Arabidopsis thaliana: one gene and its partners. The protein of the gene in region 4 interacts with the protein of the main gene of each other region in a pairwise test. Each region holds a gene or a part of one and is shown on either strand. Other genes may lie near its edges. The genes, in order: BPC6, DCP5, WRKY6 and AT5G06770.

Region 1 (5,013 bases), about 15 Mb from region 4:
CAATATGCAAATGATTAATGCCAAATGAAGACATTATACTCGACCACGGCATCTAGACCAACAATCTTATAAGTCTTGGGCAGTGCATAGCCTCTAGCAAACCTGAAAGCACCAGTTCCTCCAATAATCGGCAACTCTCTCACCTTCGAAAATATATCATTCCGTCCATACACCGCGATGGTGCTTCCATTAAACTCTCCTGCCGTGAAAACATAGTTAAAGACCATTGTGAAGACTATGTCCTTCATGGCTGTTGATGCGTACATCCCCTGAGCTCTTCCCACTTCCTTTGAGCTCGGGTCTGGTCCTTCGGTCAACGGATCATCAGCGATCATAATCACGCCAAACTTGACGTTGAGGGTGGTTGTTGGGCGGGCTTCGGCAACTTTGACGGCGGTAGGTTTGTCACCGGAGATGACGTCATGGAAGTAGAAGTGGAGGTGGGTGAATTTCTCCGGCTTGTAGCCTTGATACGGCGTTGTTGTGGAGTAAGCTGTGACGGACACGGCAAGAAGAAGAATAGATGACAAAAGAGGAAGAAGAAGCAGAAAACGTTTAGCCATGTTCGTTGTTTGTAGCTATGGAAATGTGAAAATGTGATTTATATATATACACAAAACATGATCGTTACGCAATTGTTGGCTCATAAAACATTTGAATATGTCGTTTCTCGATTGGTGACAACAACATGTCCGTTGACGTGGAAGTAAACTAGGTGGTTCGATTTATAAACAACTAGATATTTCCACTTGTACGAATCATGATATAAACTGGCAAATATATAAGGATGCACGACGAAAGAAAAACAAAACAAATAAGAATAAAACAAGATTCTGCATTGTGATACACTACATATAAATATATAAAGAAAGATATATAGTAGATGCATATAATTGAAATTAAGATCAAAGATGTACATAGACATTGATGTTTAAATTTAGGATTGTCAATCTGTATATATGTACCTAAGATATATATTAATATATACATATGGTTCCAAACTCAATACCAGTGTTCTCTAATTAATGATCTTATATTTTGTACACTGAATTAATCATCCACTGAGTCCCAAAAGAGGAGGGCATAGGTGCGACGGGCTAGAGTTAAATCATAAAATAGATTAAAAACAATACATGATATTTGAAACAATGATCAATGACAAGACTTTAGTTTTCTTGCAAAAAGTATATAACTTATTTTAGAAACTCCTTGAATTTTGTTATAAAACAAAATTGGTAGTTGCATAATTTTTTTTTTTCAAAAAATAAAACAACGATCAAGAATTTTGGTAGTTGCATAATTTTGAAGTACAGTTGTGCTAGTTACTCAATTAAACTTAAAATATATTATATCAATTGTTTGGAATAACATTCATCTTTCGTCTTCTCAGTTTACTTGGAATGCACGAGAGCTTTCTCGTTGTGAGAATAACTCTTGGGTCATGCCTAATGAGAAATGCATGGGGACGAGAATCCTCTGTCGAGTTAAAAAGTATCAATGTCTTAAGGCTACTATTAATAAAACAAATCTATTATTCAGATCAAGTAGGTGCTCTGTTTTAGGCTGCAGGAATCCACGTTCACATGGCGTCAAAGTTAAGTACGTTGGGGCATCAAATGTTGTTTGTGATAAAATCTCATAACAAATGTGCTACTATCTAATTATAGAGTCGATTGTTCTGAGGAAAGGTAACGTTTTATTGATATTTGGCGACCGAGACTGAAGTTTCAAAAAGGCCATATTAATATTGATCGTAAAATGTTAAATTATATATAAACTGTAATGACCACACCAGCCACACTTTAAATTTTATATAAAAATAATCTAACTGGTAATTACATAATAATACTAATAGACATTTTTTATTTTATTTTTTTCCAATTGGTCACCTAATTTTCAACAACAACAGTGCAACAGTAAAACACTTACCAAATGGGTGAAAAAAGAGTTAAAAGTTTAAAAATTTGTTTTTACCAAACGTAAAAACAGTTAGAAAGAAAGAAATCCATCTTCCTCTTCCCCGATCTGTTTCTTCCACAAAGATATTTTTCTTTATTCTCTCGCAGTTCAATTAGGGTTTCAATCTCTCTGCTCTGCTTGTCATCACCACCACCACCACCACCGTCGTCGTCTCTCTGTATCTCTCCGGCGGGTTCTCTCTCTACTTCCCCCGGTAAACTTCGCTTACTCTTCCACCATCTTCTTTCTCTCTTCGCCGCCCCTTTTCATTTCACTTTTTTCTCCAAGTTCTTACCAAGCTTCTAAGCTCATTTCCTATTAATCGAAGCTCGTTTGAAGTAATTAGGGCTTGGCTGAATCCTAATTGCTGAATTAAGTTACTCGATTTGATTCCAAATGGCTAAATCCTAATTTTGATGAGCTTTGCCTGTTTCTATCGACATTAGAGTTGGAGAATTTTTGGATTGTTTCTTTCTTTTGGATAGTGTATCGAACCAGATTTTGTGGTTTTAGAGTTCTTATTGATCATCATGAGTAGGCGATTTTGTGTTTTGTGTTTTCCCAAATTAGCTTTTGATGATTATCACTATGACTATAATCGATGATACTGTGTTTCTTTTAGCTGAGTTTGATATCTCACAGAGTTTATGTGTATTGGTTAGAATCGATTGATTGATGTGCAAATCCTGAAACAAAATGGTACCATTTCGATATTAATGTTGCTATTTTTAGTCATCTGAGTTTGAGTGTTTTTGTTGAAAGTTTTTCAGAAAATACTCATAGATGGACAAACAATTGTTTGCTTTGTCTCTGCTGAATCATATTCTGGAACTCAAGTATAGATTTTTTTTTTGCTTCATAGTCGTTTATGTATGTTCACTAATACTAGCAATGCTTTGGTGATTGGCTATTTTGCTTCATAGTAGTTTATTTATGAAATGGTCTTTTTTGACACTGTTTAATGATTGGCTATGTGCAGGAGGATTAAAAGATGGACCAGTCTTTTATTTTGATATTCCGTTAGCTTGTTCAGTTATTGTAGAAGCTGTACCGTCAAGACTTTTAATATCTCAAATGGATGATGGTGGGCATCGTGAGAATGGTCGGCATAAAGCAGCAGTTCAGGGCCAGGTACCTTGACAATCCCAAAGCTAAATCAGTTGTTTTCCTTTCTCTGCTCTATATATACATCTTATGGGTGTTCATCATGCTTGCGGCTAAACACCTCAGATTTGAGACTGTTTTTGATGGGAATGTATGATTTGTTCATGATGTAAAACAGTGGTTGATGCAGCATCAGCCGTCGATGAAACAAGTGATGTCGATAATAGCAGAGCGCGATGCAGCGATTCAGGAGAGAAATCTGGCGATATCAGAGAAAAAAGCAGCAGTAGCTGAAAGGGACATGGCGTTTCTTCAGAGGGACACCGCCATTGCTGAGCGCAACAATGCGATAATGGAGAGAGACAGTGCTCTTACAGCACTCCAATACCGTGAGAACTCTATGGTTACTGCTCCTGCTGCCAATATGTCAGCATGTCCACCAGGATGTCAAATATCACGTGGTGTAAAACACTTGCACCATCCGCACATGCATCATCATCATCAACAACATCACATACCTCAGTTGACTGAAAATGCATATGAAACCAGAGAGATGGAGCCAAATGATGGTCTCCCAACATCACCACCTGCCGGATCCACCTTGGAATCTGCCAAACCAAAACGTGGTAAAAGAGTGAACCCAAAGGCGACAACACAAACTGCTGCTAATAAGAGAGGGCCAAAAAATCAGAGGAAGGTTAAGAAAGAGAGCGAGGACGACTTAAACAAGATAATGTTTGTAAAGACGACCCATGACTACACAGACGAAGATTCAAGTAAGCATATCTTAATAGGATCAAAATCTGACTGGAAAAGTCAAGAAATGGTGGGGCTGAACCAAGTGGTTTACGACGAGACAACGATGCCACCACCTGTATGTTCATGTACAGGAGTTCTCAGACAGTGCTACAAATGGGGAAATGGAGGTTGGCAATCATCGTGTTGCACAACTACACTATCAATGTATCCTTTACCTGCACTGCCCAACAAAAGGCATGCTCGAGTTGGTGGACGGAAAATGAGCGGAAGCGCGTTCAACAAGCTTCTAAGCCGGCTTGCTGCAGAAGGGCATCATGATCTTTCAAACCCGGTCGATCTGAAGGACCATTGGGCAAAGCACGGTACAAACCGCTACATTACGATTAAATGATATGTGCATTTAGGTGTGAGTTGTTCTTACGACATTATCTGATTTTAAATCATGTGTACTAAATTCAAATAAACTCGAGAGGAAAAGAATTGTATGTGGAGCCAATGTTATGTTGTATTATATAATTCGAAAATTTTTAGTAACATCACAAACCGTAGAATTATTATTTTTTGTTCACATCAACAAAGAAAAACTAGACAACTTTTTCTTTTGAACTGATACTGAATCATGGATGGAATGTGAGCTATTTCACTCACCTACAACTTACGGACTGTGTGAACAAATGGATCTGATCATATCTATCAATTTGGAATTTTTGATAAAGAAATCACAAATGATTAGTCTAGGGAGATTTCACTGTGATATACGACTCGAGAGTTTTCTCTGCTTTTTTTGTGGGACCTATATATTTTATTTATTAAGAAAAAACATTATGTTTCATTAAAAATAAACCAATCAGTCGCACTAAAATAATCTAAATACTGTATAAACAAAAAATAAAATGATAAAAACATTAAAAGCTATGATGTATTTATTAGTATAAATACTTTTGATGTTTAAATTTATAATAATATAATTGAGAGTCAAATAATTTTTGTTTTCGTTTTTATTTAATATATTAATTTTGAAAAATAAAATAACTAATATAATAAGAAAATATGAAAAACAATTCTATGCCCAAATTAAATGAAACAAGTTTCTATCTACAGAATATGAAAATGCTGAATTTAAGTGTAAATTATTTATATATAATTGATTTTAAAAATTGATATAAATAATAAGTGTAAATTATTTATATA
Region 2 (6,056 bases), on a different chromosome or scaffold from region 4:
TGGTTGGTGGTGGAAAGAGGAAAAAGACGAACCTGGGCAGCGAAGAGAGAAACAGAGAGCAAACCCATCCAAGAATGGAGACTGTAGAAATTGGCGAAAACTCCACGTTGGTAATGGAACTTTGTCCAAATCCCAAACACTGCAGAGGCCAATGCCATTCCTTGTAGCCATAAATGAACAGCTTTCTTTGTTTTCCTTGAACCAGGCAACCATCTGTGTATCAGAATCGCTGCAGATCAAAACCCCAAGTTCTTGATAAAATATTCAAGAAAGAGAGAGAGAGAGAGAGAGAGAGAGAGAGAGAGAGAGAGAGAGAGAGAGGAAATCTTCAAAAGGGGCATGAGGAGGGATCATCACTACCTTCTCCACTTACAAGAATGAAGCCAATCACCATCAGCAGAGGATGAAGAGTCTACAAGGGTATAAAAACTTTATTAGAGAGAGAAAGAGAGAGAGAGAGAGAGATCCAATTTGATATCAACGAGGAAGGGAGTGTGATAGTTACAGAGTAGCTGAGTCCTAGATTAGGCAGGAAGAGAGCCCAGTACAGAACCGAAACTGCGACTACTAAACCGGACAGTCTCGCAAACAAGACCAATGATAGTCTTGAAGGATCTACACTTCCCATTTCTGTTTTCTCTCTTCAAAAGTTGAGTAAGTAGTGCTACTGTAGAGTACAGTGACTACAGTCTCTCAGACACTAGAGTTGCCGACAAAATGATAATTTGAGAAATAGAGAGGACATTTTATGGATCTTGTATAAAGAAGACCTCTCTATCTCTTAATAAGGCCCATTTGATTCAAGGCTGCTGGTACTGTATTGAAAGTCAAAATGTTTGACTTTTGAAATTTAGACAAGAAGCTACCAACAGTAAACAGCAACAAGCTATTGAGAGTAAATAGAAAATGCATTTCACACCAAATGTCGAGTATACAAAAGTTCAAAATAACATTGGATATAAGAAGAACGACGCTATTACCAAGTCTTAAAAACAAAGATCAGAAATCAAATTAATACACTCCAAAACCACACAAGTGGGGTTTTATAACAGAAAACATTACACGGGACTCGGTTTTTGTTTTATTGCCACATACCAAAAGCACTCAAGAGCTGAGCTCCCATTGGATTTTGAGTCTTTAGAGCCCTTTCTAGCAGAACAGTTTAGGTAGTACGATTTGATACGCCTCTCCCCTGGCCACGTCCACCATACCCGTAGCCACCGCCGCCGCCGCCACGGCCACCATAACCGCCATAACCACGCCCTCCATAACCACCACGTGAGTAACCGTTGTTTCGTCCATAACCACCACGCCCTCCTCGACCTCCTCGGAATCTCGAGAATTCACCAAATGTCTGAAATCATAGCAATACGTTCTGTTAGTCAATGGGATTCTCTTACGATTCTGGGAATTCGAGTATCTCCAGCAACGAGGGGGGACAAACTCTGTCCAGTCTGCTTGCTATTCAGAGTGTGGAAATATATAGATTGTACCTCAGTATCTAGTTTCCGTTGCTCTGAGAACCTAGGCCTTGAATTTTGGGACTCTCGGTCAATGGTGTTTGATGATAGGCTATCGAAAAAGTCATCTTTGTTGTAAACAGGCTACATCAATAAACAATGTGGATGAGACCAGAGAGGGAGAATATGGTGGCTTTACTTGATTATAAGTCTACTTCACTTACTTTGGCCTCGATCTTAGGAAGCTCAGCCTCATCTACAGTCGGGGAATCATCATCTTCATCACCATCTAAGGTAGTACTCTTCCCAAGATGACCCCATACTTCATCCTTATTGAACTTTTCGTTCATTGCTGTGAAATCAAAATCTTCAGTGAATTTCATTACTTGGTGTGATCTCTGCCAACAAGAAGAATTATTAGCATACATGGCTAAAGTTCATGAGCTATTTTAAACTGGTAGATCTTTTCCTTGGTAAAAACAAATAAATGCCGTCACATTCTACAAATGAGTGAGAAGAATAGTACCCCTGCTCCTCTTCCTCGTCCTCTTCCACGTCCCCTGTAACCATTATGATTTGGGAAAGAATGCCCGTTTGGCTGAGAAAAAAAATCAGCAATTGAGTTTAAATAATTTCACCATGAAGACTTATAAGTAGACATGCAAAGAAACCATCTTATACACCAAAGAACCCTGAGAGATTTTCATGCATCTTCAACAAAGCAAAAGAGACACAGCATGGAATATTAAAATGGGAATTACCACAGGTGCAGTTATAACAGTTACACCTTATTCCAGCTAACTAAGACACCAGCAAATTCAAGGTTCTTTATGATATTAATAAGAGACATTGAAGGATTTGGCATGTTATGTAAGTTAAAAACCTTCTGAGTTGGTCTTGCAGAGGAAGGCAATGGCAGTATTGGAGGTTGGGCTTCGGATGTAACTGGAACAGATTGTTCCAACCCAGCTGATGACGATACTTGAACCACCTCAACATCTTTATCAGCATTTGTCGAGGGTGGGGACAAAGAGACTGCAGAAGATCCAGACTGCAGCAGTTGACCAGGAGTAACCAACAAAGGTTTTGGCTTATCTTGGCTAATGGAACTAGAAACTCCCGCAACAGGAGCAGATGTTAATGGTGTTGTCTGCGGCGGAGAAATTGGACCAGTTACTACACTAGGCTTGTTAGACAGTGGAAGGCCAGTACTTGCTTCTGTGGCTCTCGTAGTAGATAGAGAAAACGAAAGCAAATTAGTATCCTGAGGTAGGGTAGGAGGAGCAGTAATAGGAGCTTTGTTTGACAGCAACGGAGGTGCCATCTCTGAAGCTAGTGAAGGAGATGGTGCTGATTGCAGTGTAGACTGCAGGCTAGACGAGAGCGTCACAGGTGGTAGACCAGGGAAAGGCAATGAACTAGGAGCTAACATTTGAGAACTGGTACTAAAAGGAAACAATGAAGAGGGTGCTTCTGGCAAGCTTGACCCCTGCAAAGATGATGACCCAGTAGGTGGAGGAGGGGTATTAAAGTTAGGATATTGCAGGGGTTGCTGAAGAGAGTTGGGCATTGGCAGCCCATGAGGGGGTCGAATCAGAGACTGCTGATGCAATTGGGGAAGGCCATTGGGAGGTGGGGTGTAGAAACCTTGCCAATACATTGGTGGTTGTGGTGACGCTCCCCATGAACCAAGATTTCCACCAGGCTGATACAAAGGCATTGCGTTTTGAAATCCCATTCCATGTTGTCCAGGTTGTCCATTATGAGAACTAATGTCAGGTAGTGACCCGCTCGCAGTAGAAGGCAAGCTACCAGATGTTGGCATCGGGCTAGGGTAGTGAGACTGCAAAACCAAGACAAGTGGAGGATGGGGTTACATCAATTGACTCCAAAATCCCAGACAATGTAATCTTACAACTTTTCTAACATTCACCTGAATTATAGCAGGGTCATTATTTATAGTAGATGCAGGAGGCTGAACTGGTGGAGAAGCTTTGACTTGCAAATCCTACCAACAACAAGAACAATCAGAGTACAAAATCGGCAGGCTACTTACATAGAAGTATTAGCATAATCCTGCTGAATACCTTGATATCAGTTCCACGGAACAATATGTACTCGTAAACTTTGTCACTTGGAGGAACTTGTGGACCATCTTTTTTCCTTCCTTCAGTTCCAAATGATCGAACTACACACAACAAAAGTTCAGGGATCAGAACCAAAATCTACCTCATCGACCACTTAAACACTGATCTTTTATGCTCAACCAATAGTTTCAAGACATCAATTACAATTTGAGAACTCAAGTAATAGACATGAGCACTAAAACAACATTCCTTTCAAATCGAGCTAAACAGTTCAGATTGGAGAAAACTTTCTTAACGATTAACGGAAGAAACCATTAGTTTCTACCAAATCCGAGAGAAAACACCACCAAAATTAACACTTAACAAATCTGGTAATCCCGAAACGGAAGTGGAAACGGATCGTACCGTTTTGAAGTCCGATACTGGATTCATCTGTATTAATATTGTAAAGGATCCCTTCGTATCTGATCTCACTCTTAGATGTCAAACTAATCAAGCTCCCAACGTAAGAATCCGCAGCGGAGCTCGATTTCGAACCCGTATTATCAGCCGCCATATCCGATCTATGTCTCTCTTCGCCGACGAAATCACAGCCAAAGAGAGAAAAAACTAAAAGACAAGAGAAGGCAAACACACACACACACACTTCGAGTTCCTTGATCTCCTTCTTCTTCTTCTTCTTCGCGAGAGAGAGAGAGAGAGAGAGAGAGAAAGCTACAGATACACAATTAGGGTTTACTCTAATTTGGGGAGATCGAGCATCTCTTTTTTATTATCCATTCCCATAAAAGCCCAATTCAGAAAATAATATCAATCTGACCATTATAGCCTAGTATGGCTCCATTGACTTCTCTCTAATCACTAACCGAAGTATGCCTCGTGTACACGCGAAGGGTTTATTTCGTAATTCACCGCCAATGGTGTGTTTAGGCGAGTAGCTACGAGCCTACTCGAGCCATTCCAATCCCACGGCTCGTGTTCTGATTGCTTACTCTGGTTAGAGTTTATTATTTTATTTTGGTAGGATGGTTAGAGCTTATTATTTACATATTAATCCTAGTATCAAATCTAGTGTTATTCATAAATTAAAAGGCCTTTTAAAAAATGAATTTTGAGAAATATTTTTGGTGATTTCACCTACATTTTTAGTTGAAAATTGGGGTTAAGAAAATCACACCTTTTTTTGTCAAGAAAATCACACCTTTTTTTCTCAAGAAAATCACACCTTTGGAGAGTTTTAATTATTAAAAAAAAAATCAGACCTACATTTCTTCCTTGTTAAATGACACTGGTTCGGCACTTTGTATATAGGTAGAGAAGTCAACTGATGCCAAGAAAATAGTGCAACCAATGATTAATGATCAGAGAAGAAGAAGACCAAAGACAGTTTAATTAAGGTGACAAAGTCAATGAAGCCTTGTTTCTTTAATGCACTTTCAGTGTTCTACAAAAACACAAACAGGCAATGACGAAATAATCAGTGTATTTGCAAACCGGGATACAATATCATCATCATCAAAGTTCAAAATCATCTGTATCGTCAAAGTATAGTGGGATCTGTTTTCCTTGTTAAGTAATATGCACATTGACCCGTCTGTATCACTGGAAGAAGGAATGTACTTCCTTTGATCTTCTGGGAGATAAGAGTGTAGGAGTTAGAACGGACTGACCCAGTGAGCCAACTTCAACATGAATTCAGGTACAAGACGCCTTCTATCTACGCTTTTACCAATCGCTTCTTGATCGTCTCCCAGAACCACTGTTACTATATCTTCAAACATCTCATCTATTCCACCTCTCATTGGATCCTAACATAGATAACCAAGTTTCTAGATCAAAATTCAGGTTCTTGTCCGACAAGACATTCATACCTCAAAAAGACCGGCCATTTTACCTGAAGAAACAAATCCGTGTGTGTTTTCCCCTCGTAAAGGATCACTTTTGCTTTGGCCCCAAGCCTCTGGAGGGTTTCCGCAAAAGATTTACTGCAAAGATAGTGTAATAGAAGTTCAATCATCATCTTAACTTTCTGATATACATAAGACAGACAAATACACACAAAAGTTAAACCATACCTTGCATCTGACGGGATGGAGTAGTCATCAGTACCATGGAATAAAATAAAAGGTGGGAGACGAGCAATGATGTGTTTGAGATTCGGGTTTTGCACTACTAATTCAGGAGAGAACTGCCTTAATGATTCCTCTCCTTCCATGATGCTGAGGAAAATCAAACGTCACACGTTAAACTGTAAAAATTTCAGGCTGCTCTACTGGCCAGGTGAGTAACGTAAGCTATACCAAGATTCCAAAAGAGAAAATGCTATACCTCAGAAAGATGGAACGGTACAGCCCCCTGCTATGGAAGTGGTCCACAAGGTTCAAAAGGTTGTATCTGTAGATCACGATCACAAAGTTTGTTAAGAATAGCCAAGCAGATGATGTGAGGCCTCATCAAAAAATTTGTTGCTTTAGTTGGGTAGAAGGCAGGAATCTACTTGCTACTTTGA
Region 3 (5,797 bases), on a different chromosome or scaffold from region 4:
ATTACTATATGAACAACATAACTAATTCACCAACCAAATTTTTTTTTTCTTTCTAATAAGGTTTATTATGGGCAACACATGTTATCACGATAAATATAATATAGACTATTTGGATATGTGTTATTAGTTGTATTCTTTTTCTTTCTTATTTTTTTTTATTTTTATTTTTTTCTATATTTTCATTAACTATTATTTTATAAGGTAAAAATATAAATATTAAAATACATTCGTCTGCTAAAATTATCCAATGTAATATTGCAATTCAAAATTAATTGTTTCAGAAAATAATCTCAGTAGAATGCGCTCTTATAACCGCATGTAGCCAACCAATGAGCGATTCCAATGATTAGTAACACTAAATCTCTTCGACTTTTCTAAATTTGTTGAACCTGTTTCGATTTCTTTATCCGGTTTGTATAGTACCATTTTTTGGTTATCCTTCAACAAATTTAACAAAAAAAATAAAAAAATTGCATTTACATTATGTAGTAGTCTAATAAAATATAATTATAGATAATAGAAAAGTCAATAGTTCTAATATGATAACAACAAAAGAAAATGTATACTTTAAAATCTGAAAATTACCATTCTTTTATTTGTTATCCCAAACATAAGCCATGTACTATAATTAGGTTATTGTAATTTATTATAAAAAAAAAAGAAAGAATATTCCTGTACTTCATGATTTCTTTTTGTAACGAAGTACATAAAATTTTCAAATCACATGTGGTAACCATGATTTAACAAAAAATTAAGTCGGTGACAAGCAACGAAACATAAATAATCGACTTTGTCAAGATATGTATAAAAATCGACTTTGTATTTAGAGAACAAGGTCTTCATTATTTTTCTTTTTTAACATTAGAGAAAGAGAACTAAAGGTCTACTTCAAGAAAACAAGAAACTAGGTGCTTAGCTTTAATAATATATCAAAGAAAAATGGGTCAAAAAATAAATTATTACATGAGTGGGGCCCGGCCGGCCACGGAAGTAAGACCTAACGACCAGCGCAACCGGTCACCAGTCAAGACTATTAGAAGCCGGGCCGTCAAAATCGTTGACTCGGTTTTTGTTTCCAACTGTTTTTGTATTTTGTTAAAAATAAATTAATACTAATAAATAAGCTGAAAAAAAAGAAAAGAGAAAAGGTATAATCACGTGGAACGCGCCGCAGTAAACGGAGCGGTGGATCAAACTTTTCGTCCGTTTGATCAAACAGAAGAGAACTAGTCAATGCTCTTTCTTCATATCACAATTTAATAGTCTCAAGACGATTACGCCACATAACCATTTTCTCGTGATTTCGACATCAAAATTTAATAAAAGGAACTGATTGATTGGTCATCATGTTACAAGTGTCAAATGAGCTAATCCGTTTTACAGTGGCATAGTTTACGATCAATTTACAAATTTTTGGTTTTATAACATACTTGTAGTTAAAACTATTTATAAGCTATTTATAGTGAGTTAGCTTATAAAACCCTATTCTTTTATCTAAAATTATGTTTTGACTCGTTTCATGATAAAATTTTATCCTTTTCATCGGAATAAAAAACTTTATTATTTATTTGGCAAAATAATTGGTGTAAAAATTATGTATATGTTAATAACAAAAAATATTAATCTGATTCATAATCTTAAAAAAGAAAAATTTCTTGAAATAAACTTTAGACATTGTAAATAAAAAAACATTATTTTTATATAATGGGATGTTTATATGTAATTTTTTATAAAAAAATAAAAGTTGTTTACTAGTAATCCGATTGGCTTTAACTATCGTCGCCAAAAGAATAATGTAGAACTGACTTTGAGGTAAAACTAAAAGAAATTTGTAAGATAATAGTCACATTAAATGCTAAAATTAATACATACTGATATATCGTATAAAATTTATGAAAACTACACCTTAACCTGAATCATACACTGTAATAAAAAAAACAAATTATATATAAACCCTAAAAACTAATCATAAATCCCAAACGGTGTACTCTCTATTAGCTTTGAAAGGATTGCCCAATTGTTTGTTAAAAATTTCTAATAATAGTACAATGTTTTGTTTCATTTTTCCTTTTCGTCAACCTGTTACCCAATAGCAAATGAAGTTTTTATGTGTGTGTGTGTGTGTGAATTTCCATGAAAATGAAACGGGCTTAGAATCCCGGTGTATTATGGGTCGGGTCGTAACCGGGCAATGACGCAGGATCTGACGTAAAACTCCCAAGAATTTTTTTAAAAAGTCTCCGGAAAATAAAATCAAAGTTCATTAACTTAAAAAGAAAAAACAAAATCGGTCCACGTCCCAAACCCTTTTTATAGGAGAGTCTTATGTTCTGGCAGAAGACTTCACAGACTCTTTCTTAATCTCTCTCTCTTTCAACCAAACCCCTAAACAAAAAAAAAATACATTTTCTGATCTCTCTAAAAATCTTTCTCCTTCGTTAATCTCGTGATCTCTTTCTTTTTCTATATATGGACAGAGGATGGTCTGGTCTCACTCTTGATTCATCTTCTCTTGATCTTTTAAACCCTAATCGTATTTCTCATAAGAATCACCGACGTTTCTCAAATCCTTTGGCGATGTCTAGAATTGACGAAGAAGATGATCAGAAGACGAGAATATCAACCAACGGTAGTGAATTTAGGTTTCCGGTGAGTCTCTCAGGTATTCGTGATCGTGAAGATGAAGATTTTTCATCTGGCGTTGCTGGAGATAATGACCGTGAAGTTCCCGGCGAAGTGGATTTCTTCTCCGACAAGAAATCTAGGGTTTGTCGTGAAGACGACGAAGGATTTCGTGTGAAGAAGGAAGAACAAGATGATCGAACGGACGTAAATGTAAGTACGACTTTTCGATAAATCATATGAAATACAATTTTCTTACTAATGGTTTGTATTAGTGTGGACGTGTCATAATTTGGTTTACATTTGAAATATCAAATAAAAATACCAAATTTTGTTTCATTTTTTTTTTTTTGATAAAGGTATCATATTTTGTTTTCTTACAAAATGATTTCTAAATTTGAATTTTAATTTGTTATAGACCGGTTTGAATCTTCGAACAACTGGTAATACAAAGAGTGATGAGTCAATGATCGATGATGGAGAATCTTCCGAAATGGAAGATAAGCGTGCGAAAAATGAGGTAAGTTTAGTTTGATTTTACATTAGTAATATTTAATAGATGAATAATTTGAACCGGTTTGATTAATATTTCGATTTTTTTTTGTTTATCACAGTTGGTGAAATTACAAGATGAGTTGAAGAAAATGACAATGGATAATCAAAAGCTTAGAGAATTGCTTACACAAGTTAGCAACAGTTACACTTCACTTCAGATGCATCTTGTTTCACTAATGCAGCAACAGCAACAACAGAACAATAAGGTAAATAATTATTAGATTGATCAACCACAAGTAAATGGAATTTACCCTACATGAATAGGCAATTAATTTTGGTGAACCTATATGATTAGGTAATAGAAGCTGCTGAGAAGCCTGAGGAGACGATAGTACCAAGGCAATTTATTGATTTAGGCCCTACGAGAGCAGTAGGTGAGGCCGAGGATGTGTCAAATTCTTCATCCGAAGATAGAACTCGTTCGGGGGGTTCTTCTGCAGCCGAGAGGCGTAGTAACGGGAAGAGACTTGGGCGTGAAGAAAGCCCCGAAACTGAGTCCAACAAAATTCAGAAGGTGAATTCTACTACCCCGACGACATTTGATCAAACCGCTGAAGCTACGATGAGGAAAGCCCGTGTCTCCGTTCGTGCCCGATCGGAAGCTCCGATGGTAAGTTGATTTATTAGATACTAATACTTATAAGACTATATAAAAAATAAACTATGTGCTTTAGAGATTAATTATCTTTGTACTTTATGTTTCTATAGATAAGCGATGGATGTCAATGGAGAAAATATGGCCAGAAGATGGCCAAAGGGAATCCTTGTCCGCGGGCATATTACCGCTGCACGATGGCCACGGGCTGTCCCGTTCGCAAACAAGTAAGATTTAAAAGATTTAACCATTGGACTAAAAGATTCTTGTTGTAAAAACATTAGAGATTTCAATGTATATATGTTTGCGTGATTGGCTAATACGTTCGGTCCGAAATGATATTTATAGGTTCAACGTTGCGCGGAAGACAGATCAATTCTGATTACAACCTACGAGGGAAACCATAACCATCCGTTGCCGCCAGCCGCGGTAGCCATGGCTTCTACCACCACGGCGGCGGCTAACATGTTGCTATCCGGGTCAATGTCTAGTCACGACGGGATGATGAACCCTACAAATTTACTAGCTAGGGCTGTTCTTCCTTGCTCCACAAGCATGGCAACAATCTCAGCCTCCGCGCCGTTTCCAACCGTCACATTAGACCTCACCCACTCACCTCCGCCTCCTAATGGTTCCAATCCTTCCTCTTCCGCGGCTACCAACAACAACCACAACTCACTGATGCAGCGGCCGCAACAACAACAACAGCAAATGACGAACTTACCTCCGGGAATGCTACCTCATGTAATAGGCCAGGCATTGTATAACCAATCCAAGTTCTCGGGGCTGCAGTTCTCTGGTGGCTCTCCCTCGACGGCAGCGTTTTCTCAGTCACACGCGGTGGCTGATACAATAACGGCACTCACAGCTGACCCGAATTTCACGGCGGCTCTTGCAGCCGTTATTTCTTCTATGATCAATGGTACGAACCACCACGACGGCGAAGGAAACAACAAAAATCAATAGAAAAATATTACATTTTTTTTTTGGGTATCTACATTTTTTTTCCAACTGGGTTATAGGAAACAGAGAGTTTATTTCATTGATTCACATTTGTTCTGTTTCGTACCAAAATCCCAGTAAATATACAAAAGCAAACTATACTCAAGTTCATATTCGTAAACACTATAAATAGTTACGTAACTTAATTAGCATTGCCTTTAAAGCTTTAATATTTGATATTTCTTTTGAGTGGTATATTAAATACTTCACATGTGAGCGCCGATACAAACCTAATAGTTTGGCCGTACCTTCAATAAGATAATGAGATATCATCAAATAAGTGTCCTACATAATGACACTTAATTATTGAACTTTTAATAACCTTTTTATATATATTTAACAATTGCAACGGTCAATAAATGCTACCATAACAATTTGACACGTAATTGCTGTCTAATTAAGTCACCTAAAAATCTGTACACATTAATATTTGCTAACAAATAGAGACAACTTCCTAGAAACTACGAGTTTAATGGCATGAAAAATTTGAAGATAAATAAACTGAAATATGTGACCAAAAATTTAGGCAACAATATAACGAAAAGTTTAGCTTTGTCAATTTCTTCATTTTTATGAAGTAAAAATAGGATTTTCTAGAAAATTATTAAAATTTCGATACGTAATTATCTGTGTACTGTGGAGTAATAATATTGTAAATAGATGGAATAATATCTCAAGCTTTGGAAGGAAGCGATACGCAAAAGTACGTTGTTGACTTTCCGTGCAACTCTAGTTGACGTGGGGGTCATGATTTGCCAATAATGCATTTTTTTAATACAGGTAAGTCTTTATTATGCTTAATTTTAAATTGCACTAAAAACCAAGTTTTGATCTGCTTCCGATCCGAGATGCCTCTCCTACTCTCATTATTTTATTTTGGATTATAAAGTGGTATTTTTTGAATAATCTTTTCTTTAGTAAAATATGTGAAAACGGAATCATAAAGCTGGTATTTTAAAAAAAAAAAGGCCATAAAAAAAAGAGAGTAGCTGTTTGTATTTTTTTTGTGTGCACAGTTTGAAG
Region 4 (5,026 bases):
GTTATATAATTGTAGATTCCAACGAAAGATATAAGATGGGATGGAGAGGAAGATGGGGTAACTTTGAATGTAGGACATGGCGGTGGAACAACTCGTGGGAATCGAAGGACCTTAAGCCATGGTGGTAGAGGGAGAGGTCCAAGAACTCAGCCAAGAAGAGAACATTTAGCAACGGAAAACGGTGGTGGGAGGAAGTTTTTCGGTGAGATTGAATTGTTCAACACAGACTCACTTGTGAAAGAGGTAGGTATCTCTATCTCTCTGCATTTTGTTTCTCTTTAGGCAAAAAGGGTTTTTGATGTCGAAATCTTTCGCATTAGGTCGAGAGAGTTTTTGATTCAAACCTTCCTGATCCACATGAGCTTGATAAGGCCAAGAAGCTACTCAAGGTGAGCGATATGATAATTGATAAGAACTTTGTGACGAGATATCGATTGAAAGAAACAGTGAAGTGAAACTTGGTGTTGTTGTTATTGGATGATATAGGAACATGAACAGGCGCTTATTGCTGCCATTGCAAGGCTTACGGATGCTTCTGATTACGAAAGCGGTAATAAATGTGAACAGCGGCCTTTGTTTATTTCTATTTGTCATGCACTAAGATCACTAACAACAACATAATTTGTGCTGGTGAACCAGATGGAGAAGAACCGTATTCGCATGAGCTTCCAATGCTGCTGGGGTGAGTATGTATGACACCATCACCCCTAGGAAAAATGACTAGCAATATTTCTTTTTCTTCTGTTTTGCTTTAAGGGATCCCAGAAAATGATTTTGTTCATATATGATGAACAATTAGTAGTATTCTTCTAATTTGTGGTTTCAGAATGTATGAAAATAATCGTTAGGAATTTTGTTTGTAAAAACACTATTTTTAAAAAAAAATTCTGAACTTGTGTGATCATCATCAGGCTTGCCATCAGGATCGTTAATAATTTACTTGCTCAAATCCCCAATTCCTGTCTAAACAATGTAAAAAGAATCGAACCAAGCATGTAAATATTGAGAAGAGGCTTTTGACCTTTGAGCATAACATTCAAAATCTGATTCAATTAGCAAGAATATAAGATGGAAAGTGAGATCAACATAAATCACCTGTCACTGAATCCTTCAATTTTAAAAATATTTCAATGGTTACTTTACTTCAATTTATTTTATTGTTTTAAAAAAATATATTCAATGGTTATAAGAACGGTTAACAATAAATTAGTATCAGGGTTATCGTCTTATCGACCCGATGTTAGAAATTTTTTATAATTTTTCTTTTGTTAAAATGACAATCTTAATTCTTAATGGCAATTATATGTTCAATCTTAATGGCAATCTTAAACCGATCGATTATTCAAATTATATGTTCCGTATTTTTTTTAGATTGAATGTTATTGATAGAGTTATCAGAAAAAAATACTACTTTTTAGTTTAAATTACTGTGATTATGATAAAAAATTAAAACGCGCCAAACTTAACGATTTTTTTCCAAAATTTCTACAAATGACTCGTTACCCAAATTATTTTTTCTGTATTTTTTGAATATATTAAAACTAATGTGACTATGATAAAACAATTAAAACGCGCAAATTTAACAATTCTCTATTTTTGAAACCACTGGATGTGAATTAACAATAAATATAAAGTAATATGTGTACAAATAATCAGAGTTGAATATTTTTTTGGTGTTTATTACTTGCATGAGTACAAGTTTGATTCCAGTCTCATCAAATAAACTCTATTATTGTCAAAACATAAATTCATTCTAATGTTAATGTATATACTTTAAATTTATAGTAATCCATATAATTAATAATGGAATTAGTCTCCTGGTCTTTTGGTGTTCCACGAATTAATTTATATTATTAACAAATTAAGCAAACCTCTATCCCCCATTTATATTGTTGAGCTGTGTGTGTGGAGATGATGATGATGATGATAAACCCAATAGAATTTTAAAAGGATAAGAATCGCAAAGCTCATATCACAAAACTTTGAGATCTCATTTCATCTTTCTTCGATTCTACCTACTCCGATTCAATCGATCTTATCGAGACATGGATGCTCGTAAGAGAGGACGCCCTGAAGCTGCTGCCTCTCACAACTCCAATGGCGGATTCAAGAGGTCTAAGCAAGGTTTGTTCTTTCACTCCTCTCCTTCCTATTGTCTCCAATTGGGTTTTAGAAATTCGAGATCTTCACAACAAGAGAGAATGTTTTGGTATCACTTATGTTTGTTCATTTCTAGTTGCAATGTGTGCTCTGTCTCTCGTAAAGGTTGTTCCTTTGTTCATTTTTGTGTTCATTAGAGAGATTAGTCGCAAACCCTTTTTCTGCTTCAGTCTGGTATTACCTTACTTGAGAGTTGGGAGACAATTGATATGAGAAGTTTGTATCTTGTTCTGCTTTGTGTTGTGCTATTGGCTTACCCTTCTTCTCATATTCATTGGATTCATCAATCAACTCCCATTAGCCTTTGTGACCACTCAACATTACTGGATTTACTTGATTGATATATTGATCTGTATCAACTCAAGCTGTTGAGTTCAATTTCAAAACTCTATAACCCTGGAAATTTTCAAAACCAGAATGGTATACTGGTGCCAAGTCCAAATGATATGTATTGAGAAAATTGTAGAAAAGTTTAACCAAGTAAAAGCACTTAATGTTTGCAACAGAGATGGAATCAATTTCAACTGGTTTAGGAAGCAAATCCAAGCCATGCACTAAATTTTTCAGGTTATAAATCTATTTTTTTTCCTGATTGGATCATGAAATTAAGAAGTAATACTGTATAAAGTGTGCTAATGAAGTGGATAGTTGTTATACAGGTACGTAGCACTGTTCATCCTTAAACGAGTTAAAAAGTCAATGTAACAAACTGTGATTCCTCCTAAGAATGGATGATAAGCTTATATGGAGTATAATTTTGGAACTGAACTCTACTGGTGAATCTAATATACAAAATCAACCAAAACTTGTTTTTGTGGCTGTCGTTGTAAACAATTTGTTTATTCTTCTTCTGTTTGATGGTAAGGAAACTGTAATTTTGCATATGCAGCATAAAACCATTGTTCTCAAGTAAGGTTCTTCTTGCATTATCTTTGAACTATCCATGAGTCTTTCGGCTCCTGTGCAACGTGTTGTTCATCGGTGATGCATAATGACTACAATCTGTTTTATTACTTTATAAATTTCTTTCATTATCTTTGTACTAAAACGCTATAGCTTTTTCGAGAAGGTAGCAATAGTGCAACAGCTTGGAGATGTGTCGTTTTGTTCTTTCTCGAATGAATTTGCTGATGCATTATGGTTTGTACTGCAGCACTTCTGGATGTCCATTTGGTGACAATTGCCACTTCTTGCACTATGTGCCCGGTGGGTACAATGCTGCAGCGCAGATGACAAATCTCCGACCACCGGTTTCTCAAGTTTCCAGAAATATGCAAGGATCTGGTGGTCCCGGCGGCAGATTCTCAGGGAGAGGAGATCCAGGATCAGGCCCTGTTTCAATCTTTGGTGCTTCTACTTCCAAGATCAGTGTAGATGCTTCTTTAGCCGGTGCCATCATTGGAAAAGGTGGAATCCATTCCAAACAGATATGCCGTGAAACAGGAGCAAAATTATCGATTAAAGATCATGAAAGAGACCCAAACTTGAAGATTATCGAGCTGGAAGGAACATTTGAACAGATCAATGTAGCGAGTGGGATGGTGAGAGAGCTTATAGGGAGGCTTGGATCAGTGAAGAAACCTCAAGGGATTGGTGGTCCTGAAGGGAAACCACATCCTGGGAGCAACTACAAAACCAAGATCTGTGATAGGTACTCTAAAGGGAACTGTACATATGGAGATAGATGCCATTTTGCTCATGGTGAATCTGAGCTGCGCAGGTCAGGAATCGCTTAGTTATGTCTTTAGACTCTTGAGAACAGATTATGCATTGTTAGCTCCATTATCATTGTGACTTTTTGCTCTCTCTTTTTGTTTTATCAATTTGTTTTATGCGACTCGCTTTGAAAACTTTAGCCCATTCTGTATTGAGCTCTGAAGATTCGACGAGTTCTGTAAGTTACCGATCACAGTTAAAAGACTTTGATATGTTAAAACCCTTATATTACAGCTACATACTATTTTTGTCTTAACTCTTAAGATATCATGCACAATAATATACTTGTTTTGTCTTAACCTATCGATTACAAAACCGGGTTAACCGCCGACATGAGGCGAACTCTAAAGCCTAACACGCGTCAACATCTATCTTCTCAACGACTCAAAGGCTTTCCAACACGTGTAGGACCAATAACTGAAACACAAAGCCTACCACCTCTTCTTCCTCTTCTTTCATGACACGTCTCACTGACGTGTCGTCAAGAACGTAATTAAATATTAAACTATCGTGACGAACGCGAGGCCTATGGCTATATCTATGGGACATGCTCGGTGAGCAAAACAATAAACAAAAGTAATCAGAAGATATCTTTGTAACATCTTTGAATTTCGCTAAAGGAAAAGAGAGAGATTTGGTAAAAATGCAGTCGATGAAAGAAACAGCTTCGAATATTGCAGCTTCTGCAAAATCTGGCATGGACAAAACCAAAGCTACCTTGGAGGAAAAGGTAACAGAATTGTGGTTATTATTAATTTATTGATGTAAAATAATAAAAATGGTGTAACGTTGGGTTTGTTTTGTCTTCAAAAGGCGGAGAAGATGAAGACACGAGACCCTGTTCAGAAACAGATGGCTACACAGGTTAAAGAAGATAAGATCAATCAAGCTGAGATGCAGAAGAGAGAAACGCGTCAGCACAACGCGGCCATGAAAGAAGCGGCTGGAGCCGGAACCGGTTTAGGTTTGGGGACGGCCACTCACTCGACCACTGGACAAGTCGGACACGGCACTGGGACACATCAGATGTCGGCTCTGCCTGGTCACGGAACGGGACAACTGACCGACCGCGTTGTGGAGGGCACGGCTGTGACCGACCCGATTGGAAGGAACACTGGAACTGGTCGGACAACCGCTCATAACACTCACG

Evidence for each region.
Region 1: the proteins of AT5G06770 (region 4) and BPC6 interact in a two-hybrid assay, tested with the Arabidopsis thaliana proteins (one large-scale study listed by BioGRID).
Region 2: the proteins of AT5G06770 (region 4) and DCP5 interact in a two-hybrid assay, tested with the Arabidopsis thaliana proteins (one large-scale study listed by BioGRID).
Region 3: the proteins of AT5G06770 (region 4) and WRKY6 interact in a two-hybrid assay, tested with the Arabidopsis thaliana proteins (one large-scale study listed by BioGRID).

Annotation. Positions count from the first base shown.
Region 1 is NC_003076.8:16,998,254-17,003,266, forward strand, and holds BPC6 (basic pentacysteine 6), read left to right. Parts: upstream 1-2,005; 5' UTR 2,006-2,173; intron 2,174-2,938; 5' UTR 2,939-3,033; coding exon 3,034-3,090; intron 3,091-3,241; coding exon 3,242-4,213; 3' UTR 4,214-4,354; downstream 4,355-5,013. Other genes in the region: AT5G42510 (Disease resistance-responsive (dirigent-like protein) family protein), read right to left, coding at 15-563. UniProt on the Arabidopsis thaliana protein: Transcriptional regulator that specifically binds to GA-rich elements (GAGA-repeats) present in regulatory sequences of genes involved in developmental processes.
Region 2 is NC_003070.9:9,023,454-9,029,509, forward strand, and holds DCP5 (decapping 5), read right to left. Parts: upstream 4,503-6,056; 5' UTR 4,104-4,502; coding exon 3,953-4,103; intron 3,649-3,952; coding exon 3,548-3,648; intron 3,469-3,547; coding exon 3,394-3,468; intron 3,304-3,393; coding exon 2,344-3,303; intron 2,172-2,343; coding exon of another isoform or gene 2,152-2,171; intron 2,059-2,151; coding exon 1,987-2,058; intron 1,859-1,986; coding exon 1,685-1,858; intron 1,605-1,684; coding exon 1,494-1,604; intron 1,355-1,493; coding exon 1,163-1,354; 3' UTR 888-1,162; downstream 1-887. Other genes in the region: AT1G26100 (Cytochrome b561/ferric reductase transmembrane protein family), read right to left, coding at 33-229, 361-412, 506-628; ICME-LIKE1 (alpha/beta-Hydrolases superfamily protein), read right to left, coding at 5,203-5,355, 5,442-5,532, 5,623-5,766, 5,876-5,941. UniProt on the Arabidopsis thaliana protein: As a component of the decapping complex, involved in the degradation of mRNAs. Promotes P-body formation. Translational repressor.
Region 3 is NC_003070.9:23,015,828-23,021,624, reverse strand, and holds WRKY6 (WRKY family transcription factor), read left to right. Parts: upstream 1-2,130; 5' UTR 2,131-2,469; coding exon 2,470-2,835; intron 2,836-3,040; coding exon 3,041-3,142; intron 3,143-3,236; coding exon 3,237-3,383; intron 3,384-3,472; coding exon 3,473-3,787; intron 3,788-3,885; coding exon 3,886-3,999; intron 4,000-4,120; coding exon 4,121-4,738; 3' UTR 4,739-5,056; downstream 5,057-5,797.
Region 4 is NC_003076.8:2,089,807-2,094,832, reverse strand, and holds AT5G06770 (KH domain-containing protein / zinc finger (CCCH type) family protein), read left to right. Parts: upstream 1-1,831; 5' UTR 1,832-2,045; coding exon 2,046-2,124; exon of another isoform or gene 2,125-2,653; coding exon of another isoform or gene 2,654-2,666; coding exon 2,667-2,727; exon of another isoform or gene 2,728-3,254; coding exon of another isoform or gene 3,255-3,313; coding exon 3,314-3,896; 3' UTR 3,897-4,130; downstream 4,131-5,026. Other genes in the region: EML2 (Emsy N Terminus (ENT)/ plant Tudor-like domains-containing protein), read left to right, coding at 16-243, 321-389, 487-550, 640-686; LEA4-5 (Late Embryogenesis Abundant 4-5), read left to right, coding at 4,520-4,606, 4,690-5,026.